4 linked regions of the Saccharomyces cerevisiae S288C genome follow. The gene in region 1 interacts genetically with each later gene. Each region holds a gene or a part of one and is shown on either strand. Other genes may lie near its edges. The genes, in order: HOT13, ATG23, SRL4 and EFM6.

Region 1 (7,718 bases):
GAGAATGGACAGATATTGTAGAGATCGTTAGGAGGAGAATCAATGAAATACGGAAAGCTAGGGACGAGGAAACTGGTGATAAAGAGCAAGAACAAGAAGAACAAGAGGGTGCTGACAATGAGGACGACGATGATGAGGATGACGAAGAGGATGAGGAGGACGAGGAGGAGGAAGAAGCTCTAAATGAAACAGCATCCGATGAGAGCAATGACGAGGAAGACGAAGAGGATGAGGAAGACGTGAAAACCGAAGTTTAAATGCATTAGAAAAGAGTATTTTGTGTTATGTTTTATGTTTTATTTTTTTTTTTTTTGTTTATTCCTTAAAAGAAGATTACTGCTTTTTCATTCCCTAGTTTCTAAATTGAGTGCCTAAATAAGATTAAATAAATATGTATGTGGAAACTAGGGAGGGTATGTTTTTATTTACAGGAATAGTTGTAGTAATTCAAAAGCCTAAAGATTTCCAGAACCGTAATCTAAAGCCCTCAAAACTGTTTAATTTTGGTCTAACATCGAGATAAATAAGTGGTTGTTGCTGCGAGTTTGCATCGTTCAGATCGGTGGAATAGAAATCGATTACGTAGTCGACGGTTTTACCGCATCTATCTATCTGCCAATCATGTCTATCAAAAGGTTTGGCCAGGTGCAAGATACGGGACCTGAACCAGGCCCTTGGTGTCAGTTTTTTGGAATCACCTTTAAAATTTGTTAATTTGATACCGCCACACGCTTCACCACCCTGCTTGTCTTCCCAGCTTTTAATGTAGTTCCAAACCCGCTCATTGATGGAGTTATGTAAAGGCACAACCACCTTCATGTCATCTGAGTTCGGATCCCAATTTTTTTTCATCATTGCCTCGTAAAATTGTTTCTCCGACGGGTATATCCAGTTTCTGTCAGAATTCGTCCTTGGTATGGTGGAAACCTCTCTGGACTGAGAGAGATCCACCGTGGTGTGATATTCAGGCGTTTTATCGTTATCTTGTGGGTTTGCAGAGCACTCTAGTTGATTGCCTGGGGCAGTAGCACCAGGATGCGCTTCGTTGCCATGTTCTCGTAGCCATAACTTTTTGGTTTCCTCATCTACGGGGCATTTCCCCTGTTGGTCTGAAGACATCATAATATGTAAAATAGAGACGAATGAAAAGCACGTGAACTAACAAACTATTTACTACTACCGAAATGTGATGCTTAAGCCTTTGGCCTCTGCAATACTAGCGATTGCTTTTTCCCTGATTAGTAAGCTACATCATTTATACTACATCTTTCTGTCTTAGAAGGCTTACAAACATCGAAAAGCTGGAACTTTGATTTCGAAAAAAATATGCCGTTACCCGTTGCGGGTCCCTTTTTTTTAGAAGGCCGGCCCAGAAGTCGCCATTATTTTTAGTCATTACAGTAGCCCTGTTGGGTAAGGATGCGATGCAATACATGTCAAGAGGTGTTGTATATAAACCACAATATCTACCATCAATGAGCTATATATACTTTTCTTACTGAAAAAAAAAACTACAAAACCAAGTAAAAAAAGAACAATATGTCACTACAAAGCAACAGTGTAAAACCAACAGAAATTCCTCTCTCAGAGATCAGACGCCCCCTAGCGCCTGTGTTGGATCCTCAAAAGATCGACGCAATGGTGGCCACAATGAAGGGCATTCCCACCGCTAGCAAGACATGCTCTCTAGAACAGGCTGAGGCGGCTGCCTCAGCCGGGGAACTGCCGCCCGTGGACGTGCTGGGCGTGCGAGTCAAGGGACAGACGCTATATTATGCCTTCGGCGGCTGCCACCGTCTACAGGCATACGACCGCCGGGCTCGCGAAACGCAGAACGCCGCCTTCCCCGTGCGCTGCAGGGTGCTACCGGCCACTCCCCGCCAAATCCGCATGTACCTGGGCAGCAGTCTCGACATCGAATAATGATTACGCTAATAACACTACATAAGAAACATAGATAAATTATAATTCACTAATACAAAATCCCTCAATTTAATTAATCAATTTCTTATTCAACAACTAGAGTAGGCACTAGCAGTTTGTGCGACCCTCGGCGCCGGAGAGGTACAAGGGACCTGGCGGTTGGGCCTTCCTGCCAGCTTCTCCCCCCCTTCTCGGCATTCACTCAGCGTTCATTGGCTCAATCACGCGCCAAGCGGATTCCCAGAAAAATACAAAAAAAAGTTGCCATAATACAATGGCGGATATTACAATATATATAGCTTGCGCTTTAAAAAGAAGTGTTAGCACGCATTGGGTGTTTGTACTGTATTCCTCCACTTAAGATAACGAATACACATATAGATATACAATATATTATACGTGGACATCTACGGAAAGGAAGAAAAAAAACAAAAGGAAAAGGAAGGATACCATATACAATGTTGTCAAGAGTAGCTAAACGTGCGTTTTCCTCTACAGTTGCCAACCCTTATAAAGTGACTGTTTTGGGTGCAGGCGGTGGTATTGGACAACCATTGTCTTTGCTTCTAAAGCTTAACCATAAAGTCACGGACTTAAGACTGTACGACCTAAAGGGCGCAAAAGGTGTTGCCACCGATTTGTCTCATATTCCAACAAACTCCGTGGTCAAGGGGTTTACTCCAGAAGAGCCAGACGGATTGAACAACGCTTTAAAGGACACAGACATGGTTTTAATTCCTGCTGGTGTGCCCAGAAAGCCTGGTATGACACGTGATGACTTGTTCGCCATCAACGCAAGCATCGTTCGCGATTTGGCAGCAGCAACCGCCGAATCCGCTCCCAATGCTGCCATTCTGGTCATTTCCAACCCAGTCAATTCTACCGTTCCAATTGTCGCCCAAGTCTTGAAAAACAAGGGTGTTTACAACCCAAAGAAATTGTTCGGTGTGACTACCTTGGACTCTATTAGAGCCGCCAGATTCATCTCAGAAGTCGAGAACACCGATCCAACTCAGGAAAGGGTTAACGTCATCGGTGGACATTCTGGTATTACCATCATCCCATTGATTTCGCAAACAAACCATAAGTTGATGTCTGATGACAAGAGACACGAATTGATTCACAGAATACAGTTTGGTGGTGACGAAGTCGTCAAAGCAAAGAATGGTGCTGGCTCTGCTACGTTGTCAATGGCCCATGCTGGTGCTAAATTCGCTAACGCTGTTTTGTCCGGTTTCAAAGGCGAAAGAGACGTCATCGAGCCTTCCTTCGTGGACTCTCCCTTGTTCAAATCCGAAGGCATCGAATTCTTTGCATCTCCGGTCACTTTGGGCCCAGATGGTATTGAAAAGATCCATCCAATAGGTGAGTTATCTTCAGAAGAAGAAGAAATGCTACAAAAATGTAAAGAAACCTTGAAGAAGAATATCGAAAAGGGTGTCAACTTTGTTGCTAGTAAATAGATTGTTCAAGATCAGAAATAGAGTGAAAAATAGGGAAAAAAAAAAAAAAATTCTACTAATAAGAACGGAAGACTACTCGCCATCATGAGATTACGACATCTTTTTTATTTAATTCTTTGTTATATTTAGCCAATTGAAAGGAAGGAAACTGCCAAAAATCAACTAGAGAAAAATTCATGCTATTCGTTGCTCCTACACCTTTTTTTCTTCCGTAGACGAGGAAAAACAAAAATGATTAAATAGGCGCGCGCGGTGTGATGGTGATGATAATGATGATGATGATGATAATGATGAATAAACGTTTCGGTTTACGAGTTTCTTTAAATATACATATATGATATAAAAAAAAAAATACGTACCACTTACAATTTGCAAATATAGATGATCGAAACTGCCATTTATGGTAAGACAGTGGATGACCAATCTCGATGTGTCCACTGGCATCTTCCAAAGGATGTAATTGCCATCAGGTTTAAATGTTGTGATAAGTACTATGCGTGCTTTGAATGCCACCAAGAGTTAAGTTCTCACCCGCTAGAAAAATATGATCTCCTTGACGATGCAAATAAACACTTGATTATTTGCGGAGTTTGCCGTCATGAAATGACGTTTGCAGAGTATTACGACTACAATTCAAACCTTATTTGTCCCAATTGCAGATCCCCCTTTAATCCAGGCTGTAAATTGCACTACCATTTGTATTTCCAGAACCCTCCCCCCGCTATGTGTTGAGTGTTGTTCTATAAATGCATGCCATCTTAAGCTCTGCTGTGCTCTTCTCGTTAAGGAAAAAATGCGATGGTATATATATAGATATATATATATATATATGTATCTGTATATATATGTTCATACATATATATATATCTATTATTGTTGTTATTATTATCGTGATTATTATTTAGGTCCTCCCTTCTTTTTACCTGTTTTTAATCTACCCTCAAATCCGGCTCTTTTCTTTGGTACGGCACTACCGACATACTTTCTTTTCATCTTTTCTTGCTTATTTCTCTTTTTACCCTTGTTGTCTTTCCTAATCCTCAGATTCTCTTCTCTTCTCTTTTGTCTTTCAGATATCGTGTCTTCCACAACCCTCTTACGTTCGCTCCATTCAATCGCAGACTTTCTCTTTTGTGCTTCCTTTCTCTTTATAGCTTTGCGAAGTAGTTTTTCGTCATCCCTAATCTTAATTCCTTCTGCTTGTAACATAGCCTTTTGCCATTTTTCCTTTTCCTTCTGCTTGATTTGTTCTAGTTCGTCTTTCGCCTCCATCTTATTCTTCTTGGCTTCTAATAACTTTAAGTGTGATTTTACATCATTCTTAGCCGGACCCTTCGTTCTACCAGCTTTTCTTAACCTTTGTAAATCTGAAGTGGCCCTTGCACCATCATCGAATATGATATTTTGAAACATTACACCATCTGCGTTAATTTCTGAGTCCTTCTTGCCTTTTTTGAATCTTTTTTTCGAATTGTTTTCTAAATCACTATCGATGTCTTCCATATCGGAATCAGACGCAATTTCATCCTGATCCTGTTCCTGTTCACTTTCTAGACGCTTTCTTTTTTTCAACTCTTCCTTGCGTTTCCTTTGAGCAAGAATAGCCTCTCTAGAACCGGGTGCTTTCCTTTTACTCTTCATATCTGAAATTTTCGCTTGTAACTTGGAACGTAGTGCTTCCAAGTTTTTCTTTCTTTGTAGTTTCTCTTCCTCTGTAATAGACTTCTTTTCGACAGATCTATCGGGCTCTGTAGTATCTTTTTTAGATTCTAATGGTATTTCATTTCCCTCATCATCAAAGATCACCTTAATATCCTCTTCCTCTTCTTCATCTTCGTCTGGTGCTATTATCATAGGATCGTTTACTTCTACGTTCAGGTCGGAGTCTCCTTCCACTTTTGATGTTGCTTCCTTTTGCTTTTGCATTTTCATGTGCTTGAATTTTTCACCAGGTAGGACCACCGGCTTTGCGTCTTTCTCCTTCTTCTTCATTACTTCTAATGTACTAGATGTTTCATCATCACGTTGCTCCGGGTCTAATTTTTTCAGTTTATCATTTTTACTCTGTTCTTTGGTTTTCTTCTTGGCCTTCCATTGCTCTTGACTTTTTTCATCATAATAGTATTTTGCAGGAATTAAAGCCAATAAACCATCGAAGGCGCTTGAATTAGCACGAAGGCGCTCCTCAAGTGAATTACTCATCTCAGTCTCCTATATCTTTCAATTCCCGGACTTTCTTTATCACTTGCAACAACGTCTCAGTCCTCACTTGTTATTCATCTCTTGGTCATCTCATCTCTTTTATTGTACTTTCCTCTTTTCTTTACCGGAGATGAGAATAAAAAGAATTCATTTTAAAAAATTTTCAATTTGGTGTCTGGGTGAAACTTTTTAATCGTGTAATCCCAATTAAACCACTCTACTTTACTTTAATTGGTACACGAACTCATTACACACCTTTGCCTCTATTGCTTGTGTCAATCGTGTTGAGAGAGGAAGCCCAAAACAAGGGAAATTAACCTCTGTAGGCAAGCCATCACATTTGGCAATAGCAGCCCTCATTTAATTTAATTCGGCATGTGGCCGGCAGGGTAATGCGCTCTGCTGCTGACAAAATTGAAAGAAAAATTTTTTTCATCAACAGTTTGCAATACTTTCTTTTTCATATTTAATTCATCCATTCCGTCGTTAATTTTGTTCAAAACTGGTGTCCATCCTTAATACCAACTCAATTCTTTGATTTTGGCCCTCGATAGATTCAAGATGTCCCAAGGTACTTTATACATTAATAGATCTCCAAGAAACTACGCTTCTGAAGCTTTGATTTCTTACTTTAAACTAGATGTCAAGATCGTTGATCTAGAACAATCTAGCGAGTTTGCTTCTTTGTTCCCATTGAAGCAAGCCCCTGCATTTTTGGGTCCAAAGGGCTTAAAGCTAACTGAAGCTTTGGCTATCCAATTTTATTGTATGTTCCATATTTTATTTTAACACTTCCACATACATTGTTTTGCGCGTTTCCCGTTCGTTTATTTGGCACGTCATTTTTCTTCGAAACATAATGATGAAAAAAAATTTTATCAAACAGTTATCCCTGTCTGAATGGGTAATAATAGGTAACCTCTCATATGTTGATATTTGTATTTCTGATATGTTTCTTAAAGAAAAATGAAAGTCAAAATAACAAAAAGGAAGTACAAAGCGTGTCCTAATCCAGGAAAAAATATAAAGGATTGTTTTACTAACATTTCTTCAATTAATGGTTGTATAACCATCGAGATGATGTATATTTAGTGGCTAATCAAGTTGCCGATGAAAAAGAAAGAGCTCGCTTATTAGGTTCCGACGTTATCGAAAAGTCTCAAATCCTTAGATGGGCATCTCTAGCTAATTCCGATGTCATGAGCAACATTGCTCGTCCATTCCTTTCTTTCAAAGGTTTGATTCCATACAACAAGAAAGACGTTGATGCTTGTTTTGTTAAAATCGACAACCTAGCTGCTGTCTTCGATGCTAGATTGAGAGACTACACCTTTGTTGCTACCGAAAACATTTCTCTAGGTGACCTTCATGCCGCTGGTTCTTGGGCTTTTGGTTTGGCCACTATTTTGGGCCCTGAATGGAGAGCTAAGCATCCTCATTTGATGAGATGGTTCAACACTGTTGCTGCTTCTCCAATCGTGAAGACTCCATTTGCTGAAGTCAAATTGGCTGAAAAGGCTCTAACCTACACTCCACCAAAGAAGCAAAAGGCTGAAAAGCCAAAGGCCGAAAAGTCAAAGGCTGAAAAGAAGAAGGACGAAGCTAAGCCAGCAGATGATGCTGCTCCAGCTAAAAAGCCAAAGCACCCATTGGAAGCTTTAGGAAAGTCCACATTTGTCTTGGATGACTGGAAGAGAAAGTACTCCAACGACGACACCAGACCAGTTGCTTTGCCATGGTTCTGGGAACACTACAACCCTGAAGAATACTCCATCTGGAAGGTTGGTTACAAATACAACGACGAACTTACCTTGACTTTCATGTCCAACAACTTGGTCGGTGGTTTTTTCAACAGATTGTCCGCTTCTACTAAGTACATGTTCGGTTGTTTAGTTGTCTATGGTGAAAACAACAATAATGGTATTGTTGGTGCCGTTATGGTCAGAGGCCAAGATTTCGCTCCAGCCTTTGATGTCGCTCCAGACTGGGAATCTTACGAATACACCAAGTTGGACCCAACCAAGGAAGAAGACAAAGAATTTGTCAACAACATGTGGGCTTGGGATAAGCCTGTTGTTGTCAATGGCGAAGATAAGGAAATTGTTGACGGTAAGGTTTTGAAATAATCTC
Region 2 (8,452 bases), on another chromosome or scaffold:
GAATTTGAAACAGTACTGTTGACTAAAACAGATTCTAGAGCTTTGCTCAACAATCCTTTGATCCAAGACATAATAATTAGATCAGCTTCGAATCCTAACGACTTTTATCCTGGGCTAGGTGCTGCTTCTGCATCGGTGGCCACATCCACGATGATGGTATTGGCAGAATGTATCGATTTTGATATACTGTTATTATGTCATCGAACGTTTAAGCTTTATTCAGGTAAACCAATTAGCGAAATTCCAATTTCAACCAACGTCTTGGAAAATGTTACAAATAAAATTGACCTGAGATCTTTTCATGACGGTCCATTGCTGGCCAAACAGCTGCTAGTATCTTTAAAAAATATTAATGGTCTTTTGATAGTACCGTCAAATACTGCCGTAGCTGAGGCACACAACGCATTGAATCAGAAGTTTTTGCTGCTATCAACGAGATTAATGGAAAAATTTGCGGATATTTTGCCCGGTCAACTGTCTAAAATCCTTGCGGATGAAGATGCATCGCAGGGTTTTTGGTCCTGCATATTCTCCTCTGATAAACACTTGTATCAAGCAGCTACTAATATTTTATACAATACATTTGACGTTGAGGGTAGACTGGAAGGTATCTTAGCGATTCTGAATAGTAATTTGACCGTTAACTTGAAGAATATAAACGTGATGCTACAAAGATTAATCAATTGTGAATTCTATGAGCCTTGCCCCCGTGCTGTTCGTGTTTTGATGGACGTAGTGAGTGCATTTGTAGACCCGATTTCTGGTGTGTTTGCTAATTTCCAAACTTTGAAGAGCCAAAATACCGAAAAGGAATTTTTAAAATTCTGGGAATCATGTTGGTTATTCTTGGATACGATTTATAAGTTTACTTTGAAATGGGCTTCTAAATATGACTATTCTGAACTGGAAAATTTCACCAAAGATACTTTAGATCTAAGTCGCTCTTTGGTGGACTCCTTTAGAGAATTTTCAGATATTCTTCATGACCAAACGAAAAATTTACTTCTCAACGTTTTAGAAACCTTTAAGAATATGTTGTATTGGCTGAGATTGAGCGACGAAGTACTTTTGGAATCTTGTGTTAGATTAATTATAAGCACGTCTGATTTAGCACATGAAAAGCATGTGAAAGTGGATGATTCCTTGGTAGAAATGATGGCCAAGTACGCCTCGAAGGCAAAGAGATTTTCAAATAAGTTGACGGAGCAACAGGCGAGTGAGATTCTACAAAAGGCTAAAATATTCAATAAAGCACTCACGGAAGAGGTCGCTACAGAAGCTGAAAACTACAGAAAAGAAAAGGAATTATCAAGACTTGGGAAGGTGATCGACTTAACGGATTCTGTGCCGGCGTCACCATCCCTCTCGCCCTCTCTGTCTTCAACCATTGCTAGTTCTTCTGCTGAATCCAGGGCAGACTATTTACAAAGAAAAGCTTTATCTTCTTCAATAACTGGGAGACCAAGAGTAGCTCAGCCTAAAATAACATCTTTTGGTACGTTCCAATCATCAGCTAATGCTAAACTGCATCGTACAAAACCTGTTAAGCCTTTATCCAAAATGGAATTAGCTAGGATGCAATTATTAAACAACAGAGTTGTTCATCCACCTAGTGCGCCAGCTTTCCATACAAAGAGTAGGGGTTTGTCTAACAAAAACGACGATAGCAGTAGTGAGGAGAGTGACAACGATATAGAAAGCGCTCGGGAGCTTTTTGCTATTGCTAAGGCAAAAGGCAAAGGAATACAAACTGTCGATATTAATGGTAAGGTTGTCAAGAGACAAACTGCGGCTGAATTGGCTAAACAGGAGTTAGAACATATGAGAAAGAGATTAAATGTTGATATGAACCCTCTATATGAAATCATATTGCAATGGGATTACACCAGAAATAGTGAATATCCTGATGATGAGCCTATTGGTAATTATTCTGACGTAAAGGATTTCTTCAACTCTCCTGCTGACTACCAAAAAGTCATGAAGCCTTTACTACTTCTAGAATCTTGGCAAGGTCTATGTTCTTCACGTGATAGAGAGGACTATAAACCTTTCAGTATTATTGTAGGAAATCGAACTGCTGTGTCAGATTTCTATGATGTGTATGCCTCTGTCGCTAAACAAGTCATACAGGATTGTGGTATTTCTGAATCTGACTTAATTGTAATGGCTTATTTACCCGATTTTCGACCAGACAAAAGGTTGTCCAGTGATGATTTCAAGAAAGCACAACATACATGTTTAGCAAAGGTGAGAACATTGAAAAATACCAAAGGTGGTAATGTTGATGTCACATTACGAATTCATAGAAATCATTCTTTCAGTAAATTTTTGACACTAAGATCAGAGATATATTGTGTGAAGGTTATGCAAATGACGACTATTGAAAGAGAGTATTCAACACTGGAAGGGCTGGAATACTATGACTTAGTTGGCCAAATTCTACAGGCTAAACCATCGCCTCCCGTAAATGTGGATGCGGCAGAAATTGAAACAGTTAAGAAAAGCTATAAGCTCAATACGTCGCAGGCTGAGGCCATCGTTAATTCGGTATCTAAAGAAGGTTTTTCTTTAATTCAGGGTCCACCTGGTACGGGTAAAACAAAGACTATACTGGGTATTATTGGTTACTTTTTGTCTACAAAGAATGCCTCATCTTCAAATGTCATCAAAGTGCCACTAGAAAAGAACTCATCGAATACTGAACAACTGTTAAAAAAGCAAAAAATTCTAATCTGTGCCCCCAGTAATGCCGCTGTGGACGAAATCTGCCTCAGACTGAAGAGTGGAGTGTATGACAAGCAGGGGCATCAATTTAAACCTCAATTGGTCCGTGTAGGTAGGTCAGACGTTGTAAACGTTGCAATTAAGGACCTTACTTTAGAAGAACTTGTGGATAAAAGGATAGGTGAAAGGAATTACGAAATCAGAACAGATCCGGAACTAGAACGTAAATTTAATAATGCTGTGACTAAAAGAAGAGAATTGAGAGGAAAATTAGACTCTGAGAGTGGTAATCCAGAAAGTCCAATGTCAACCGAAGATATCAGTAAATTACAACTTAAGATTAGGGAGCTAAGTAAAATAATCAATGAACTTGGCCGTGATAGGGACGAAATGCGTGAGAAGAATTCCGTAAATTATAGGAATAGGGATTTGGATAGAAGGAATGCACAGGCCCATATCTTGGCGGTTAGTGACATCATATGTTCGACTTTATCTGGTTCAGCCCATGATGTACTCGCAACAATGGGTATTAAATTTGATACGGTCATTATAGATGAAGCATGTCAATGTACCGAACTTTCTTCAATTATTCCTCTCAGGTATGGAGGGAAGCGTTGTATTATGGTTGGTGATCCTAACCAACTACCACCAACTGTTCTTTCAGGTGCAGCAAGCAATTTTAAATACAATCAGTCACTGTTCGTTAGAATGGAGAAAAATAGCTCCCCATACTTGCTGGATGTTCAATACCGTATGCATCCTTCCATCAGTAAATTCCCCTCTTCTGAATTTTATCAGGGACGACTAAAAGACGGCCCTGGTATGGATATCTTGAACAAAAGACCCTGGCACCAGCTTGAGCCATTAGCTCCCTACAAATTTTTTGACATCATTAGTGGTAGGCAAGAACAAAATGCGAAGACTATGTCTTATACAAATATGGAGGAAATACGTGTTGCCATTGAGTTAGTTGACTACCTTTTCAGAAAATTCGATAATAAAATTGATTTCACGGGAAAAATCGGTATAATTTCACCTTATAGAGAGCAAATGCAAAAAATGCGTAAAGAGTTTGCCCGCTATTTTGGAGGCATGATCAACAAATCAATCGATTTCAATACAATCGACGGTTTCCAAGGTCAAGAAAAAGAAATCATCTTGATATCGTGTGTCCGTGCCGATGATACGAAATCTAGTGTCGGTTTTTTAAAGGACTTTCGTCGTATGAATGTGGCTCTGACTAGAGCCAAGACAAGTATTTGGGTTTTGGGACATCAAAGGTCTCTGGCTAAAAGCAAGTTATGGAGAGATTTGATTGAAGATGCAAAAGATAGAAGTTGTCTTGCATATGCTTGCTCGGGTTTCCTGGATCCCAGAAATAATAGAGCTCAAAGTATTTTAAGAAAGTTCAATGTACCCGTACCATCAGAGCAAGAAGATGATTATAAGCTACCCATGGAATATATTACGCAAGGCCCCGATGAGGTAAAATCCAATAAGGACACAAAGAAGAGAAGAGTTGTCGATGAAGGTGAAGAGGCAGATAAAGCTGTAAAGAAAAAGAAGAAAGAGAAGAAGAAGGAAAAGAAAAAGTCCAAGGCAGATGATAAGAAAAAGAATAACAAGAAGGCAGAATCGCCCAGCACCTCATCTGGTACAAAGAAAAAGTCATCCATTTTTGGTGGAATGAGTGTACCGAGTGCCGTAGTTCCTAAAACTTTTCCTGATGTGGACAGCAACAAAAAGGCAGCAGCAGTTGTTGGTAAAAAGAAAAATAACAAACACGTTTGTTTTTCGGATGATGTTAGTTTCATACCAAGAAATGACGAACCTGAAATTAAAGTGACCAGAAGTTTATCCTCTGTATTGAAGGAAAAGCAGTTAGGTTTGAAGGAGACGAGAACAATTTCTCCGCCTGAAATCAGTAATAATGAGGATGATGATGACGAAGATGATTATACGCCGTCAATCTCCGATTCTTCATTAATGAAAAGTGAAGCAAATGGTCGTAACAACAGGGTGGCTTCTCATAACCAAAATTTCAGCGCTAGTATATACGACGATCCACAAGTTTCGCAAGCAAAGCAGACGCAGGTACCTGCTGCTATTACAAAACACAGAAGTTCAAATAGTGTTTTATCCGGTGGTTCTTCGAGGATCCTGACTGCTTCCGATTACGGTGAACCCAATCAAAATGGACAGAATGGAGCAAATAGGACCCTCTCTCAACATGTGGGTAATGCGAATCAATACTCAACGGCTCCTGTGGGTACAGGCGAACTGCATGAAACTCTGCCCGCCCATCCGCAAGACAGCTATCCTGCTGAGGCAGAAGATCCATATGATTTAAACCCCCATCCGCAACCACAATCTTCAGCATTCAAAGGACCTGGTAGTGGGCCCACAGGCACACGCAACAGTTCGAGACGGAATGCTTCATCTAGCCCATTTATCCCAAAAAAAAGAAAGCCTAGATCATGATCTTGAAGTAAAAGTGTTAGGAATTATACCTGCATATATATTGGTGTATACATTTATATTGAATTTAATAGCAACATTATTTTTCATTATTTTTCATTATTTCAGCAAAAAGAACATTTTTTTTCAATTTGACGTGAAAGAGTTTGACTATTACGTGGGCATACAATGTTTAAATTTACATTATCCTCATGGCTACTCTAGCTATTTGCATTTCATTCAACTTTTTTTGATATGGCATCATTTTTATTAGCGTTTACTACACTTTCAGAAATGCCAATCTTTGGTGGCGATTTGCTAGCAACCAAGAATGAGGGAGTCGAGGGCTGTTTTAAATTTGAACTCGCGTTCGACCCTTTATGGCTTTTGTGTATATCAATTGGTTTAGAAGGTAGTGCGCTTGACCCATCTTGTGCAGTGGTACTTTCGCTATGGAGTTCTTCACAAGCTTTCGAAAGTACGTCCCTTTCGTTTGATATTAAAGTTGTCGTGAGCTTTTCATCAGAAGAGTCAAGAAGGTTATTTAGGTACTGTATTGTAGAATTGATCATTTCTGACATTTCATTTGGAGGTATTTTGGAGTTGCTGCTGCTCCGAAGTTTGGTTATTAATTTGCTTTCCAAATCTCCTACTTTTTTTTGACAATCTAGCCATAATTCACGTTGCGTTAGTACTGTAGAAGACTCATTTTTATTTCTCATTAGTTGCTCTTGTAGATCTTCAATTTTCAGTTCTATGAGATCCTTCATATGAACAAAATTTTTCATGTTGATAGTTTGTCTCTCATTGTAATCTTCATCCGCGCTGGACAGCCTTAAATTGAATATCTTTTCTGATAGTGATTTTTCCTGTGTCAGGGGCGACTCGAATCCTATTCTTTTCATTAATTGATGCTTAGATTCCTCTATCTTGGACAAATGAAAATCAATATTACCCATTTCGGAACGTATCCGTCCAGATTGCCTTTTTAACTCCTCTTCAATGAATTTATTGTCCTTTTTGAAGTCTCTTAATAAAGTTTCCAGCCTTATTATTTCTGATTTAGCTTGCTTATGAGATAATTGTAACAGTTTGTAATTACGTATCATTTGATCCGCAGAAGATTCAGCGTTCTGTACTTCCTCGATCATTGCATCCGAATCATCCGTATTGGATAGTATTGTATTTTCTGCCCCCACTGACTCGATATATTTGTTTAGTGATGTCCGGTGGTGCGATGAAATGGTAATTATGGCGTCCTTATCGATAACATAGTCCGCCGGCGCAGCATCGGTTTCTTGCTTAATATGCCACGACTTCCGCTCTTTCCAAAGAAGCTGCTCTCTTTCGTTCAGTTCTAGTAGCTCTTGTTTGTCTCGAAGTAAGGACCCAATTTCTCTTTTCAATAGACCATCATGGGATACTAAGAGATCATTAATTCTGCATAGATCGTTTAAGCAAATAGTGATATCCTTCCGGATGCTTGTCACCTGGGAAGCCGAATTTACATCAGACAACGCTTTTTCGTGAAGCCCGACCAGAGTGCCTAAGTATTGCAGAATCTGCTCCTTTTTTTCTAAAACCTGATTCAGTTCCATATTTACTTCTTCACTTTATTTTGTTACCTTATAGAACAACGAGGTTAAAATGTGGAACAAGAAAACGAAAATAATCACTTGAACTAAAACGTACTCTATCCTTCACTTTTCCATTCCTTAGCCGGTTCTCCAATAGATATATACAGACGTTCTCTGTGTTCTATTATTTGTATATGATTTACACTATAAAAAGACTATCTATACCTTTTGTTAATTGCGCACCTAAACGCCAGAGCTTACGCCCTTAAATTTTTTGAACATATGCGCTGATACCCTACAAGTTGTCCTAGGGCTAGGATATCGGGAAAAAAGAGACAAGGGAACTTGAAAAACCATAATTCCCAATACATAAACCTGTTACTTGATGGCTAACAAGATGTACTTTTTTCCAGTGACCCAGTGGCTTCTTTAACCACTATTGTGTTCATTTCTAACTCTGGTTAATTACATAAATATTAGCCTTCAAAGCCGCACACGTTTCTTTTTCCGAAAAATGAAAAATTTTTCACTGAAAAAAAAAAAAAAAAAAAGAAGAAATAGAAAGGTATAAATAGTTGAATAATTTGCCCTTCCGAGATCCAACAAGATTTTTGAGTGTTGGGACCCTTGGAGGTTTACTCCAGTTTCGTGGGCTTGTGCATTTTCACCTAGTGTACTGGGAACTTTCTCTTTTTTACTCTATTTCTTTTCTTTCTTGCTTCTATATAACTTAACTTAGAAAGACTTTCTAAACTCGCAGAAAAGCACGTCATCTCATCTGTCTCACTTTTATTCTAAGGAAAAGAAGTCATCGACAGGTTAACAGCAGTAAATATTATCAGTGCAATTAATAACTCCGAAAGTAGTAAAAGCAATGGCCGCCGTTAGAGACTACAAGACTGCCTTGGAATTCGCCAAGAGCTTACCAAGACTAGATGGTTTGTCTGTCCAGGAGTTGATGGACTCCAAGACCAGAGGTGGGTTGACTTATAACGACTTTTTGGTTTTGCCAGGTCTGGTTGATTTCCCATCTTCTGAAGTTAGCCTACAAACTAAGTTGACAAGGAATATCACTTTGAACACCCCATTCGTTTCCTCTCCAATGGACACCGTGACAGAATCAGAAATGGCCATCTTCATGGCTTTGTTGGGTGGTATCGGTTTTATTCACCACAACTGTACCCCAGAGGACCAAGCTGACATGGTCAGAAGAGTCAAGAACTATGAAAATGGGTTTATTAACAACCCTATAGTGATTTCCCCAACTACTACTGTGGGTGAAGCTAAGAGTATGAAGGAAAGATTTGGATTTTCCGGTTTCCCCGTTACAGAAGATGGTAAAAGAAACGGAAAATTGATGGGTATCGTCACTTCTCGTGATATTCAGTTCGTTGAAGACAACTCTTTGCTTGTTCAAGATGTTATGACCAAAAACCCTGTCACCGGTGCACAAGGTATTACATTGTCTGAAGGTAATGAAATTTTAAAGAAGATTAAAAAGGGTAAGCTATTGATTGTTGACGACAATGGTAACTTAGTTTCTATGCTTTCCAGAACTGATTTAATGAAAAATCAGAACTATCCATTGGCTTCTAAATCTGCCACCACCAAGCAACTGTTATGTGGTGCTGCTATCGGTACTATCGATGCTGATAAGGAAAGGTTAAGACTATTAGTCGAAGCAGGTTTGGATG
Region 3 (7,795 bases), on another chromosome or scaffold:
TATGTCTTCCACTGAAGCAAAGCAATACAAGGAGAAACCCTCGAAAGAGTACCTCCATGCCAGTGATGGCGATGACCCTGCAAATAATTCTGCCGCTTCTTCGTCATCTTCGTCTTCTACATCAACTTCCGCCTCGTCATCGGCTGCAGCCGTTCCACGGAAGGCCGCAGCCGCTTCTGCCGCTGATGATTCTGACTCAGATGAAGATATAGACCAATTGATTGATGAACTACAATCTAACTACGGTGAGGGTGATGAATCTGGTGAAGAAGAAGTACGTACTGATGGGGTGCACGCTGGCCAAAGGGTTGTTCCTGAAAAGGACCTTTCTACGGACCCTGCGTATGGTTTGACTTCGGATGAAGTCGCCAGGAGAAGAAAGAAATATGGGTTAAATCAAATGGCTGAGGAGAATGAATCGTTGATTGTGAAGTTTTTGATGTTCTTCGTAGGGCCTATTCAATTCGTTATGGAGGCTGCTGCTATTTTGGCTGCCGGTTTGTCTGATTGGGTTGATGTCGGTGTCATCTGTGCTTTACTGCTATTAAACGCATCTGTCGGATTTATTCAAGAATTCCAGGCAGGTTCCATCGTAGACGAGCTGAAAAAGACGTTGGCCAATACTGCAACAGTTATTAGAGATGGCCAATTGATCGAAATTCCGGCTAATGAGGTAGTTCCTGGTGAGATTTTGCAATTGGAAAGTGGCACAATTGCTCCCGCAGATGGTCGTATTGTCACTGAAGACTGTTTTTTGCAGATCGATCAATCGGCCATCACTGGTGAATCCTTAGCCGCTGAAAAGCATTACGGTGATGAGGTGTTCTCCTCATCCACTGTGAAAACCGGCGAGGCTTTTATGGTTGTTACTGCCACTGGTGACAATACCTTCGTCGGTAGGGCTGCCGCCTTAGTGGGGCAGGCTTCCGGTGTAGAGGGCCATTTCACTGAAGTATTGAATGGAATTGGTATTATCTTACTTGTTCTAGTTATCGCTACTTTGTTGTTGGTCTGGACCGCATGTTTCTATAGAACGGTCGGTATTGTAAGCATTTTGAGATATACTTTGGGTATAACCATCATTGGTGTCCCAGTCGGTTTGCCAGCAGTTGTTACCACGACCATGGCTGTCGGTGCAGCTTACTTGGCTAAGAAGCAAGCCATTGTTCAAAAGTTATCTGCTATTGAATCCCTTGCTGGTGTTGAGATTTTATGTTCTGACAAGACTGGTACTTTAACCAAAAACAAGTTATCTTTACACGAACCCTACACTGTCGAAGGCGTTTCTCCGGACGACTTGATGTTGACCGCTTGTTTAGCTGCCTCTAGAAAGAAGAAAGGTTTGGATGCTATTGATAAGGCTTTTTTGAAGTCATTGATTGAGTATCCAAAAGCTAAAGACGCCCTGACCAAGTACAAAGTTTTGGAATTCCATCCGTTCGACCCTGTCTCAAAAAAGGTTACCGCTGTTGTAGAATCCCCAGAAGGTGAAAGAATTGTTTGTGTCAAGGGAGCCCCATTGTTTGTCTTGAAGACTGTTGAAGAAGATCACCCAATTCCGGAAGATGTGCATGAAAACTACGAAAATAAGGTTGCTGAACTAGCTTCTAGAGGTTTCCGTGCTTTAGGTGTTGCTAGAAAGAGAGGGGAAGGTCACTGGGAAATCTTGGGTGTTATGCCATGTATGGACCCCCCTAGAGATGACACCGCTCAAACAATCAATGAGGCCAGAAACCTTGGTTTGAGAATCAAGATGTTAACCGGTGACGCTGTTGGTATCGCGAAAGAAACGTGTAGGCAATTAGGACTTGGTACAAACATTTATAACGCAGAAAGGTTAGGTCTGGGAGGTGGAGGTGATATGCCTGGTTCAGAGTTGGCTGATTTTGTTGAAAATGCCGATGGTTTCGCAGAAGTTTTCCCACAGCATAAATACAGAGTCGTTGAAATCTTGCAAAACAGAGGTTACTTGGTTGCTATGACTGGTGATGGTGTTAACGATGCCCCATCTTTGAAGAAGGCTGATACTGGTATTGCTGTCGAAGGTGCTACCGATGCTGCCAGATCAGCCGCTGATATTGTTTTCTTGGCCCCTGGTCTCTCTGCTATTATTGATGCCTTAAAGACTTCTAGACAGATTTTCCACAGAATGTACTCCTATGTTGTTTATCGTATTGCCCTATCCTTACATTTGGAGATTTTCCTGGGTTTATGGATTGCTATTTTAAACAACTCTTTGGATATCAATTTGATCGTTTTTATTGCTATTTTCGCAGACGTTGCCACTTTAACTATTGCTTATGACAATGCTCCTTATGCTCCTGAACCTGTGAAATGGAACCTACCAAGATTATGGGGTATGTCTATTATTTTGGGCATAGTTTTAGCTATAGGTTCTTGGATTACTTTAACCACCATGTTCTTGCCTAATGGTGGTATTATCCAAAATTTTGGTGCCATGAATGGTGTCATGTTCCTGCAGATTTCACTAACTGAAAATTGGTTAATTTTTGTCACTAGAGCTGCTGGCCCATTCTGGTCTTCCATTCCATCGTGGCAGTTAGCCGGTGCCGTTTTCGCCGTTGATATTATTGCTACCATGTTTACCTTATTTGGCTGGTGGTCTGAAAACTGGACTGATATTGTGTCAGTCGTTCGTGTCTGGATTTGGTCCATTGGTATTTTTTGTGTATTGGGAGGATTTTACTATATTATGTCCACGTCTCAAGCCTTTGATAGGTTGATGAATGGTAAGTCATTAAAGGAAAAGAAGTCTACAAGAAGTGTCGAAGATTTCATGGCTGCTATGCAAAGAGTTTCTACTCAACACGAAAAAAGCAGTTAGTAATTTTAAACATCATCCATCTGATTTTTTTTCTTATTGATCTCCTTTTTGTTATTCCTCATTTTCATTTCAATTTGTCGATACCAAGGAAGCCAAGACGTTATAAAAGAACACGGTCAACAAAAATCAAATTAATGCCTCTTCAATTGTGCTCTGTTTGATACCTTCGATATGATGTTACAGTTTTAAAGTTTACACACAAGTTTTTAGACTAAGTGGCATCATATCTGTCAATTTTATCACACACACACACACACACACACACAAACAAACATATCCACATATCAGAAGTAGGCCGATCTTTTGCTTGATTGGATGCAAATTCATATGGAAAATTTTTTTCATATTATTTCGTGTTCTTTTGACTATTTTCCTCTCCAAAAAGGAAGAATCATTCCAATAACAACACACGAATTCCCATCCAACATGGTGAAATGACTAAATATTTTTTTTTTCGAAACATTAAATCAATCTAATTCTTAATTTTTAATAAACATATAATGCACACTTATTTACATACAAGCACATTGCACGTATTATATCAGTTTCTTCTTTTATGTTGATATATTTTTCTAATAATGTTATTATCATGTAGTCGTGTATGTGCGCCTCTCCCGCGAGAAGTCCAACACCATAAGAAATCAAATGTCAAGAGAAATAAAGAATTGTTTCCCATCATAGATAAGACTATATCAGAAAAGTGCTCATCAAAGCTAAATCTATTATGAGATGTCTTAGGCATAACAAAAAAGGGAGAGCGGTGCAAGATAAACATACCGTCGGATAAAAAGTACTGTCATTATCATCAGTGGCAAGATGCAAGGTACACACGGGCACCAAGAGATAATGCGCAAAATAAACCGGGTTTTATTTACATCTATACATACAGTAACCTCTTTGAATCATACATATCTGAAAAGACGGTAGATTTAAAATGGCTATTTATTGATGAGTCAATAGTTCGGACTAATGGTAAAAAGAAGAGACAATGGGTAGACAGAGACTTTATTCTATGTAAGATAGGAATGACCACTCGAAAAACAGTAGATTCAAGACTTTTAGAATGGCAAACCACATGCAAGCATCCAGTGATAAACTTGACTCCAGAGAAAGTCGATAAATTATACCACTTGAAATTGAAAAGTGAAAGCAAAAATATCAGTTCAAACAGGCTATTGCCCATTTCATTATCAAGCTTACAAAAAAAAATGGAGAAACTTTTCATCAAAGATAAAAGTCACTCACACAAGCCTTCCCTTCCAGATCCTAAGGTGCCAACCCTACGCACTTATAAAGATGGTGGATTTTTCATTAGCGGAAAAGGTTCAATGAAACTACCAGATATCGAAAGCGCTATTCATAAATTTTTATGGAAGAAATACGGGAAAGGATTGGTTTACTGTTATGGGTGTGATCCAACTGGAAAAAAGAGGCATACAGAGTGGTTCAATGTGCCTGTATTGGAGCTACCATCAGTACTAAGACTTATTGATTCTTATTGCCTTGGAGGAGAATCTCGTTAGACTTAAAAAAAATTTTTTGGCCTATTCTGGCCGGTTTATTCAAATTATTTATCATCATAAAAATTGTAGTGTTACCTTTCTTTTCCTTGAATTATTTATAGAAATATATGTGCTTAGCAATTTTATCACTGTTACTTCGATTTGTAGTACCCTTAAGTAAAAGAGCTTTTGAAACCAGTTATCAAAAGAATATCACCAATTGATCTTTTGCTTTCGAGAATTGTATCACCATATCTTCCCTCAAGTAGACAGTGGACGAGATGTTTCGAGATACTCGGGGAAAGTCTCTTCCAATGTGCTTCACTTTCAAAACTGGGTAAATATGCAATCAGCGTTTTTACATTCAAATTACTATCTTTCAATTTAAGCTCTGAGGTTATTCCATCGTGGAAAGAGTTTATACCACATTTCGATGTAATAAAATGTGTTCCTGATTTGCACGGTTTTAACGTCAATACCGATGATATGTTGACAATATAGAACCCCTTTGCTTTTTCTTGAGCTTCAGCTTGAACCTTTGGAAAAATGTTACTCAAGCAGAACTTAGTTATCAATATTACACTTTGTAAATTATACCTCACGATTTTCTCGAATTCATTTAAAGACTCTTCATCAAGTCTCAAAAATTTGTCTTCTTTGAGAAGAGTCGATTCGATTCCCTCCTGCATGTTGTTAATGAGCACTGTAGGAATTATTTCTAAATTTTGAAGGTAAAGCATGGATTCCTCAAGACATTTTATGTCACTGAAATCTTTGCAAGAAATAAAAGTATACAGTTTTTCACTTCTCCTTGCGTTTTTTCCATTAATACTGTCTATAGTGTCAATATTTATAACCTTTGTATGATAATCTTCTATAAATGTCTCGCAGAGCTCGATGCCTAACTCATTTGAAGAACCGCCAATAATTAATACTGTATCGTGGCTAGGATGGAACTTTTTACCTAAACCGACATATTGATAAAAACTTACGAGGACTTTGTAAATTGTTTTCTTCATGTCAGATTTTTGGGCTCTATTACTAGTGGACCTGTGCTTCGGACATACGCAGTTTTTCTGTGGTTTCTTTATACGTCACAAATCTGTATTATTATTGAGTCACTAATTCAAATGCGTGTGACAATATAGCGACGGGGCCGTGCAAAAATAAGAGATACTGCACTTGCGCGGCTGATAGAGATTTCTTTCTTTCTACGCTGGGATAGTTTTCTTAGAAGGTTTTAGCTATTCTAATTAAAATGTTGTTCCCACCAGTATTTATTGGCACCTTGGACAATTTTAAAAATCACTGCTAAAACGGTGCTATGACACGATTTTCTGGTACTAAAACGTGTTTTATGAAATTAACAGTATATACAAAAAGTAAAAGGTATGGATAGTTAAATATGTGTAAAGCTATAATACAAAGAAATAACACAAGATAGTTGAGTTTATTTGGTCAAACTAAAAAGAGGAAATAATTATAGTGAATAATTCCAGATTTTGTTAAACACCAATTCAAACAAACTGAAAACAGGGAGAAACCAACCCAAAAAATAAAATAGATTCAGTGATAACCCAATTCTACCGCAAAAAAAAACTAAAAAAATAAATAATAGAAAATTAACAGATACAAAAACGAAAAAACAAACTGTTTACAAAACATTTACATGCGTGTTCATTAAGCTGTCGAAGGATATTATTTCTTTGATTTATTTTTTTTTTTGAATAGGCCAAATCTCTTCTTCTTACCACCATTTTTCTCCTCATTGTCACCATTATCGGTACTAGGCGAAGCCATATTCGCCATTTGACTTGATGAGGACAAGGTTGGAGTGCTTGGGGCTGAAACAGAGGTTGTAGGAGGGGGTGCAATATTTTTGGGATCGTTTATATCCACAGTGCTACTTGTATTGTTGTTTGTATTTGTAAATTGCATTGCGTTATGAACTACCGAGTTGGTGGAAATATCAGGGTTGCTACTACTGTTATTAACTTTGTTGTTATTATTTGTAACTTCTATCATGGTACTGGAGCTAAATTGCCTTTGTGTGGGAACGTGATTGTTTAAACTAGGAGCAGGGACTTGGTTAAAAGTATTGTTTGGGTTGGTGGCATGTGGCATATTCAGTTTGTTTTTCGATTGTTGTGATCTCAATCTATTCTGGTTTACGATGCTATGCGTTGGCATGGAATTTAAGCGAGTTTGACTTGAATTGTTCGGTGGTCTGCCAAAATCACTCATATTTATACTGGAAGGATTACCAATATTAGGCATATTACTATTTCTATTCTTCCTACTTGTGGGCTTGATAGAGTGTGAGTGAAAAGGTTGTACTTGTACCGATTGTTGTGGCTGCTGTAGGGGTAAGGAAGGAGGTTGTTGCGGGTCATATGCAGCGATACTTGAAGAAATTGGGTCTACAAAATTTCCGGCGGATGCAGGTTGAGACATAGCGCCATTGGTGCCATGCATTCCTCTGCTGTTAGAACGAACGTTTGCAGACTGCTGTAATTGAGGGAAGGAAGGCTTTCTTGGAATTGAATTATTGCTATTATTAAATCTTTGTTGCTGTAATGCTCTTTTCTGGAACTCCAGTTCACGTTCTTGTAGCTCTAATTCCTTTTTACGGAGTTGCAATTCGCGTTCTTGTAGTAATTTGTCATTCGTGCCATTATTCTCTCCGAAAGTTTGTGAATGTGAGGATAATGGTGAGTTCATTTGTGGCTGAGAGCTTACAACAGGTGGTGGAGATCTCACTGGAGAGTCTCCGTAGTTTACACTATATAGTGCCATATCTTCGATGTCCCTCAAATTCGGAGTTCCTGTTGCTTTATATTCATTTGTATCGGATTGGTTTGTTGCTTCAGTTGGCGTTAGTGCTTCAATTGATGTTTGAGCTTGAGATTGGGCTTGAGCTTGGGCTTGGGCCTGGGCTTTTAGAGCGACTTGATGTTTCTCCTTTAACTCATTAGTTTCCATTTCATGTTGCTTGGCCTGCATAAGCAACTCTTGTCTTAGTTTACTAATTTGACCTTGTAAGGAGGTAATTTGAGTCTGTAAAGCAGATTCATTTTTTTGTGATTTTTGCAAGCTTTGTAAGATTTGAGTTTTTTCATCTGACCTAATAAACCATTTAGATTTGCCACTATTCAATCTTTCAAATTGGGACAAAACAGAGTATAAAAATTCTAAGTACGGAGTTTTGATACCAAAGTCATCGGCTAATAAAATAGTTTGTAACAACAGGATATCGATGTTCAAAGGCGTTGTTTGATGAATGAAATGATAAACCAATGCAGGTGGCTTATTGGTTGAATGATAAGAATTCTTCCATAGAGATAAAAGAGAGTTTTCATTATCATGACTACTGTTTAGTCTGGCTCCCATTGTTTTTGCTACAGTGATGATTTCAGTTACCAGACCTGATATTAAAGGTTTGGCAATG
Region 4 (7,934 bases), on another chromosome or scaffold:
AATCCAATACGTTTGCCTTAAAATGGAGGAGCAACTTTTTCTGTGCTAAAAGTTGCCGCTCATGTATTGAAGGCATAATAAAAGAAACCAAATAATTTGTAGAACAAAATGGCAGATAATTGTGCTAGAAGATAAATACTTATATATCGCACCATCGTTATTTTGAGTTTTCTTTTAGTAGTTCGTGTGATTGCAGCAATGCGATCTTTATCCTCAACCTCATTTCACACAAAATCAAGACTATGATGCTGTTCAATTTTACTAGTCCGTGTCCACTTATATATATGCAAAAGTATTATCAAACACTTTAGAAAAGGAAGAAAATGTTTTTGAAATAAGCCAACATGTTCTAGTATTTTAACTTGGGGGGCGTTTAATATTTCTGTTAGTTTATCAATTTGGCCTGCCATAAGAATTTCTGACAAAGGTTTTGTGGTTGCACATACTCTGAAAAATGGGGAAGTTTGAGCCACGGTTCACCCATCTTGAATGTGTGTTATAAGTGGGCTACTGCAGTAGACCAAATTGAAAGGATTTTTTGAACACTGGAGAAAAAAACACTAGGTTCGATTCTTTAAATTTAATACATGTCAAGGTCCGACCCAGCTTTCCACCTCAATATCAAAGCAATTTTTAATTATGCATTATAACGGTACCTATTCTCAATATGTCTTGACGTTCCAATATCATGTTAAACAAAGGTAGTCAAGGACGAAACATTTCCAAAACGGATCATCACCACCATAATGATTGAATTTACAGGCTTAACGGTTTTTAAATTTATTCTTCGCATGATTAAATTGCAGATGCTGGTCTAAGATACAAAGTATGTAGCAGAAACTTTATCCATTGTTCGTGGTACTTGTCCCAATGATCGTATAATGTAATTTGCTCTTGAATCGTATCCATAACCTCCTCAAGATCTACAAGAGATTCTGCCATAAAACGATTAAAAGCTATTTGAACAGGAGAACTAGAATTTTTAGGATCTCTGATGGCTTCAGAAGCCGCAGATGCTAACGATGATCCTTTGGTTGGTTTCCCATGAATGGAAATCGTAATGAATAAACATGCAACAGCGATAATATGAGGAGGGTAAAGCAAATGAACATCATTTATATAACTGTCGTTGATTAAGGACCAACAGTTTTGTAGATCATCTGACGATAGTGTTATTTGAAATGGCGGTTGCTTTAAGACTTGAACAATTTGCTTTAAGGATTGATAAGGGTGGTGGACAATTAAGTAACTTTCCAATTCTTCTAGTAAGTAGAACTCAAACTCAGTAACTTTAGTAGGGTCAGGAGGAATAAATTCGGGCCATAAGGTACGGGCTTCACTTACCAAAGTTCTGATATATTGCGGGCATTCTTCAACTTTGCATGCTAAATATACACACGTAGTAACCAGCATATATAGGTTTATTTCTCTAACTGAAGCCTTTATTAAAAACCTTGATAGATAAATATGTGCTGTAGCCAGTGCATACTGTCTTATATTTAGTCTCCTTCCAAGCTTCATTATCAGGAAATAGCAGTAGATCCTTAGATTATAATCTTTATCATAGTGTAAGTCTCGGTGAGTTATTGGTATATTCTTTGTGATGGATTGTTCGATGCCGTTTTGCTTCGAATCCATTACAATATTCAAACCTTGAGGAAACAGCTGGCACTCCAATAGCCATAACTTCTGCCTCTCTTTAGCCAATGATGCCTTGGTATATTGCCAATGATGCCTTTGTGTAGATGTCCAGAAGCTCCCCGACATGTCTAACTTTTGAGATTCAGATGCCTTATCGCTCTTCAACTAAAGTTTGAGAGGGCATTTTTTGTTCGAACAATATGAGTGCTAACAAGGTTGCTACCACATCAATGAACTCTACTCCTGTATGAACCCTAATTTTCCTTCATGAAAAATGAATTTTCGATGTTTTTCCGTGGATTTTATATTTTTTCAAATATATAAAGGAGTAAGAAAATAACTTTGTTTATCCTATGTTGCGGTAAAGAACTAAATAGTGGTCTTCACCTGTTTTCTAATTTCTTCTCGTTTAAAGTTCTTCAATCCATGACCAAAGAATCGTCACAAATCGAAGCTTACAAAATGGAGTAAAATTTTTTTTACTCAGTAATATGCTTTGGGTTGAAAGTCTCCCACCAATTCGTATGCGGAAAACGTAATGAGATTTAAAAATTTTAAATTGTTTAAATCAACTCATTAAGGAGGATGCCCTTGGGTATTCTGCTTCTTGACCTGGTACCTCTATTGCAGGGTACTGGTGTTTTCTTCGGTACTGGATTCCGTTTGTATGGAATCTAAACCATAGTTATGACGATTGCTCTTTCCCGTGCTGGATCGAGTAACCCAATGGAGCTTACTATTCTTGGTCCATGGATTCACCCCTTTTTATTTTTTTAACAGTTTGTTGTTTACACTACTTTTTAGCAGTGTAAAACTTTTGCATAGTTAAATATGCCGAACTGATCTAATAAAAAGTCTGAATAACTCAGATGAGTTATTTATTGGTAAACTTGTGTAAGAAGAAGATGGAATAGTGAATAATTCATCAAATGATGAAATACCAATGCAACAGAGTCAAGCTCTGAGTTTCAAAAAGAAACATGGACGAGATTGCTTTTTTATTACTGACCATGATTATTCATTACTTACCATTGTTCCTCATTCTATATAATTGATTGGGCACCACGTAAATTCTTGAGCCTTTTCGGTAGTATTCAATCGCAATATGGGGTAGTTTACGGAAGTGCTGTAAATGATGTCTAAAATGAACAACTATGCGTCCTTATTGTGACAATGAATTCCCTTCTTAAATCTCTATAGAGGTCGAATAGATGAATACTCAACACAAAACACTATAAAATAAAAAAAAATACAAAAGTGTTTATATTTTTGCTGTGCGTGCTAGCTCATAGCACCCTTACTTGTACGCTATCAGACGATAGAATTAAAGAGACACTTCGTCTGAATCCACTTATACTCTTTGTTTTAAAAGGTACTGCACCTTCTATGACCTTGATTTGCGTAACTTTAAATCCATATGACTAAGTATCTTCCAATCAGCTGTTAAATTGACTGATGGCCATCAAAATACATGCTAAACTAACATATGGACTGGCCCTTTCACCAACACGTGCCATTTTCCAGAAGGCCCCCAAAACCTCATGATTTTTGTAACGATCTAGGAGAGACGGCCACTGCCCATGAACATAAGAACATGAACAAATCAGTAACAATATCACTTGCAGAAGAGAACGAAAATTAAATAATGCAGACATATTCTGTCGTGGAAAAAGGACGCAACTTTGCAAAGTAAATCGATCCGGCTCTCTAGTTATTTTGCAAACGATGTTTACCGCTGTTCTGTCTTTATCCTTGAGTTGTCGTTGCTCACTCTATTGAAGATCAAAATTTCGCTCAAGAAGAGCAGTCCCACCATGCGTACACCACACTACAAAAATGAATGTTATATCGTTTTTTCATGAATTACAAATGTCTATCGAAAAGTTCATTACTAAATATAATAAGATCAGGATCATTAAGAGATAAATTCACTGTGTCAGGTTACTTCCTGATAAGCTGAAACAAGTGGGTTCTTTCCTTAAGATAATGTTCAAATTTACTAAAATCTGTAATTTCAAGAACGTCAAAATTTCTTTTAATCTTGTTGAAAAAATGTTTATCAGCTTTTCTTCTCTTCTTGTAAGCCATCAAGATTACAGGTGGGTTTATGCAGTGAGTGAGATCAAGTAGTGTTTTTTCTAGTAATGGAAAAGCTTCCTCGAGATACACACAATCAGCTGCCAAAACTAGATCAACGTTATTTGCTTGCATAGCACCTTCTTGAGGTGAGAAATCTGCCGACAGCGGCTCACCCCACCAAAGTTCCCTCGCAAGAACTTCATACTGAACTTCGTCCAGTTCTATATTTCTTTTCAATAGTGGTATCAACTTGTCAATGTCCGTAACATATACTTTAGTGCCATCGTGGAATGTGTTTTTTTCCAACAACCCCACGCACAATCCAACTAAACCTGTACCACTACCCAATTCTAAGACTTTTTTAAATTGTTTCGTACCATTGACCGTCTTACTTAGCAGATGGTCAACTGATTTCTCGAGTATGTACTCGCACAACAGTTCGCCAGCGATCCAGACTTTACCGCCACAACCACTTTCACCGCCATCTTCACAAATTTTCAATGCAGGCAATAATTTTCCACCGAAGGAAAGGTCTGTTTGACCGAGATGCTCCTTTGGCCTAGGAACAACTAGATCTCCAAACCCACCAAATATACTCTCCATACTCAATACCTCACTAGTCGCGTTTTTATAACGTTCTAGGGAAAATTATGGGCCATTTTTTTACATAGAGCCTGCTCATCATAACTTTTGAATTATTTAAATACGAAGAATTACTTTCAGTGTTTGGGTGTGAGGGACTTTTCGTTTGGTCAAGCCAAAAAAGCTTAAGAGAAAAGAAAAATCTCTTCTGGTTTTACTTGACTAGGTTTCCAAATTATAATATCCGTATTATTAACGTGACACTCAGTATTCTCCATTCGTTTACGGGAACGTTGATATGTAAACATATGCAGATCCTCGTATTTTAGCAACGACAGGGAGAAACAAGAAATGAGATAGGATGAAAAAAAATAAAAGTTAGATATTTCTATTTAATTAGAATTCCGCGTAATAAATAATGACACGCTATTATAGTTCATGTATTATTATCCATTACAGGACTATCCTCTTGAATTACGGGCGTATCCAACCTTCTTTCAAGTTCTTCTTCAGTTGAACACAACGAAATGGAATCGGCCAAAAATGCCTCTTTGGCCATAAAATCGAAGTGTCCAACCAAAAGCTCCATGTCACGTTCGGTATTCACGGATGCTGTTTCGTAATTTTCAGGATACACTAGTGCTGTTTTGCCATCATCAAGGATTAGGTATTGAGGATTCACTACTAACGTATGCTTGAGATGTGGTTCAAAAAATCTCCTTAGATCTTCGGCAGTATTTCCAGCAACCAAATTTTGAACCAAAAAACCATTTTTCTTAGCCACCTCTACTTTAGGTTCCGTATCTTGAACCTCGAAGTTGATTAGTTTAGCTGTGGTGCGAGCTTGAAATTCTTGTGCTTTCCTTTCCTTCTGCAATTGTTTAAATGATTCATATAGTGGGTAAGCTTCTGCTAATGATAAGACTGGTTTATTGCTTGCGCCATTATCTTCTTTCTTAATAAATACAGATCTCATGGGCTCTCTGTCCTGAGACTCGGAATATAGGCCGTAAGCTTTGGCTAGTTCACGGATGAAGTGGCGTTGAGGAGGCCTCATAGGTTTGAAATGCAAGCTTGAACGTGTTTTATCGTCCATTAATTTATTAAGAATAGCTTCAATTTGTGAACACCATCTTTCTTGCTTTGAATATACTGATAATGCTGCCTCTGTAAACGGTAACTGCAGTTCTTCAAATGTTGTAGCAACAGAGACCAGTTTTTTTAACGCATCTAGTTCATTACTTGTAAAATTATTGGTTTCTTCCTTAATTCCAAATGCCTCCTTCAATTCCTTTAGTCGTTTCAAAGCTTCACATTCTTCATTGCAATCCAGCACGGAAGATTCAGTTACACTTACTCTATCACTTTTTGCGCCACAAGTAACACTTTTTTTGATCCTTCCACATTTACAATAAATTTTCACTAGCGTGGCACAAGGTAAATCGGGACACTCTGTCTTACCATGGCACGGTTTAGGACATTCATGATTACAATTGAGCCTTTTTTGCCCACAGGTCTGTTTACACACCTTTTGGCAATTTCCTGGTAAATGACATGTTTTTTGGCAGGTATGATAACAGTAAGAGAGTGGTATCCCACATTTTATTCCACATGATACGTCTGTTTGAAAACAAACCGTTCTCACTTTAGTTTTCTTCCCACATTTACAAGGTTTAAATACGGTTTCCGTACATGGCGGGCACGACACATCCAAGGAATGACAGGTATGTGGCATTGGTTTATGACCACACGTAGATTCGCCACGCACAACTTTAATACATGGATGATTACATGTAGGTAGCTTCGTGCCACAACGCACGGGTGCAGGAACAACTGTATTGCCACATGGGCAGACCAGATCGTTCGAATCACTCTCTAAACAGGGCGGACACTTTCCTGGGTGACATTTTCTCTGACATTTATGAATTCCACATGATAGGGTCAAGTTACACGGTTTTAGGCAGATATGTTTTGCTTCCACAAGAGACTCATCCAACAAATCTTGCGTTCTGAACAAGTTTTTCTTCCTTCTTATCGCCGATGGCCTACCACTGCAGCACCTATCGGTGCATCTATGTCTACGGCATGACATCAGGGATTCGCATTTAATATTGCAGCGAGGCCTTCCTTGAAATCCACATGGAACTGAAAATGTACTTTGCTCACAAGCACATTTTACACTATCAATTTGCAAGCAGGGTTCCATACAGGCTTTATCATGACAAGTGAAGGGGCACGAATGTTTGCCACATTTTAGTGGTTTACCGCATCTTGAGTCGCAGGTTGGTATCGGATCATCACAATGCTTACGAGGCTTAGTCAGTTCCTCTAGGGCTGTCCGGCCACAGGGACAAGTTTTCAAAGAGCTAGGCAAAAATGGGCATGCCTTTTCTCCATTAATTGTGGGTGGGCTTATGCAAGATTCTATGAATGAATGCTTGCGACATGAGTAGTCGACAACTCTATTATCTGCACAGGCAAACACGCCTATCCACCTGTTCCCATTTTCATCCTTCGACGACTTACCGGACTTGGGAAACTTTGTTTCACTACACTTTATGTTAGCACGAGTGTGGTTACCACAGTAGCATTTTATTTGCTTTTTCGGACTATCTTTACTAATTATCATTTCTGGACATGGCCCACATAAGCCAGGGTGGCATTTCTTTTTACAGGTGTGGATGGAGCAAGATAAAGGCAATCCACATACTTCTTGACAGTTGAAGTTTTTTTTCATAACTTTAGACTGGTAACAAAAGATACTTTTCGAATGCTTACCACAGTGGCACATAATCTCGACCATTCTAGTACACTCTGGATGCGGCCCTAGATGACAAATTTTGGAACAACCATGCATACAAGTAGAAGCATTGCAGGTTTGTCCACATGAGTTAGGATCCAGCGGATTCGGATCAGGATTAACAACTTTACCGCACCAACATGTGGGCCGATTTTTTACCGGAACTCTTTTGCTAACATAATAGCAGTTTGGACATTTCCATATTCTATCTACGGTTTTTTCCGTTGATTTTAACGCCCATTCTCTTATGCATCCGTAATCAAACACTCTATAACATCTCTTGCAAGCAAACATTTGGCACGTATAATCCATCTCTACTGTACAAATCATACAAACATATGAGTCACCGCTAGAAATTTCCTGGATCGCACGTTCGTAATATTGCATATCATCATCACTTTCCTCTTCATACGAACTAGGCTGCTCGTTGGCGTCTTCAACACTCGAAATACACCCATCGCTTAGGTTGTGATGTCTATAAGTGTCACCGCCGTCTTGATTTTGCTCCAGGCCTAAAGACTCATGTTCGGTCATTTGTAATGCCTACGACTGCAAATAGATTAGAGCAGTCTCGTCTCACGCTGTTTCACTTGGTTGTTGCCACTGTCGCAAGAAAGAACTTTTATATTTACGACCTTTTCACAGAGCTCATCGATAATTTTTATAATAGTATATTACCCGAAAATCTTCCTTTATGTGCGGGATGTATAGATTATTGAAATGTCTTTTCCGTAGTACTACAGCAAAAATGCAATAATACATATCAGATATACACATATATACATGAATGTTCTGAAAGTTTAATCTCTTTCAAAACAGACAGCAAAGAAAC

What was found.
Region 2: mutations in HOT13 (region 1) and ATG23 together harm fitness more than expected from each alone (negative genetic interaction), as found in Saccharomyces cerevisiae (one large-scale study listed by BioGRID).
Region 3: mutations in HOT13 (region 1) and SRL4 together harm fitness more than expected from each alone (negative genetic interaction), as found in Saccharomyces cerevisiae (one large-scale study listed by BioGRID).
Region 4: mutations in HOT13 (region 1) and EFM6 together harm fitness more than expected from each alone (negative genetic interaction), as found in Saccharomyces cerevisiae (one large-scale study listed by BioGRID).

What each region holds. Positions count from the first base shown.
Region 1 is NC_001143.9:276,742-284,459, forward strand, and holds HOT13 (Hot13p), read left to right. Parts: upstream 1-3,767; coding exon 3,768-4,118; downstream 4,119-7,718. Other genes in the region: phosphopantothenoylcysteine decarboxylase complex subunit CAB3, read left to right, coding at 1-257; cytochrome c1 heme lyase CYT2, read right to left, coding at 448-1,122; SRX1 (sulfiredoxin), read left to right, coding at 1,540-1,923; malate dehydrogenase MDH1, read left to right, coding at 2,382-3,386; ribosome biosynthesis protein RRP14, read right to left, coding at 4,284-5,588; TEF4 (translation elongation factor EF1B gamma), read left to right, coding at 6,150-6,354, 6,681-7,714. UniProt on the Saccharomyces cerevisiae protein: Required for the assembly or recycling of the small Tim proteins in the mitochondrial intermembrane, thereby participating in the import and insertion of multi-pass transmembrane proteins into the mitochondrial inner membrane.
Region 2 is NC_001144.5:994,925-1,003,376, forward strand, and holds ATG23 (Atg23p), read right to left. Parts: upstream 6,780-8,452; coding exon 5,418-6,779; downstream 1-5,417. Other genes in the region: DNA/RNA helicase SEN1, read left to right, coding at 1-5,205; IMP dehydrogenase IMD3, read left to right, coding at 7,633-8,452. UniProt on the Saccharomyces cerevisiae protein: Required for cytoplasm to vacuole transport (Cvt) vesicle formation and efficient autophagy. Plays a role in ATG protein retrieval from the pre-autophagosomal structure (PAS) and is especially required for autophagy-dependent cycling of ATG9.
Region 3 is NC_001148.4:482,842-490,636, forward strand, and holds SRL4 (Srl4p), read right to left. Parts: upstream 5,367-7,795; coding exon 4,521-5,366; downstream 1-4,520. Other genes in the region: H(+)-exporting P2-type ATPase PMA2, read left to right, coding at 2-2,845; YPL034W (uncharacterized protein), read left to right, coding at 3,871-4,368; SVL3 (Svl3p), read right to left, coding at 6,046-7,795. UniProt on the Saccharomyces cerevisiae protein: May be involved in the regulation of dNTP production. Induces the SOS system when expressed in E.coli, therefore, it may play a role in DNA metabolism and/or in genome stability.
Region 4 is NC_001146.8:583,525-591,458, forward strand, and holds EFM6 (putative protein-lysine N-methyltransferase), read right to left. Parts: upstream 4,324-7,934; coding exon 3,583-4,323; downstream 1-3,582. Other genes in the region: cyclin-dependent protein serine/threonine kinase regulator SSN8, read right to left, coding at 796-1,767; KSH1 (Ksh1p), read right to left, coding at 3,078-3,296; FAP1 (Fap1p), read right to left, coding at 4,739-7,636; rRNA (cytosine-C5-)-methyltransferase RCM1, read right to left, coding at 7,903-7,934. UniProt on the Saccharomyces cerevisiae protein: S-adenosyl-L-methionine-dependent protein-lysine N-methyltransferase that methylates elongation factor 1-alpha (TEF1 and TEF2) at 'Lys-390'.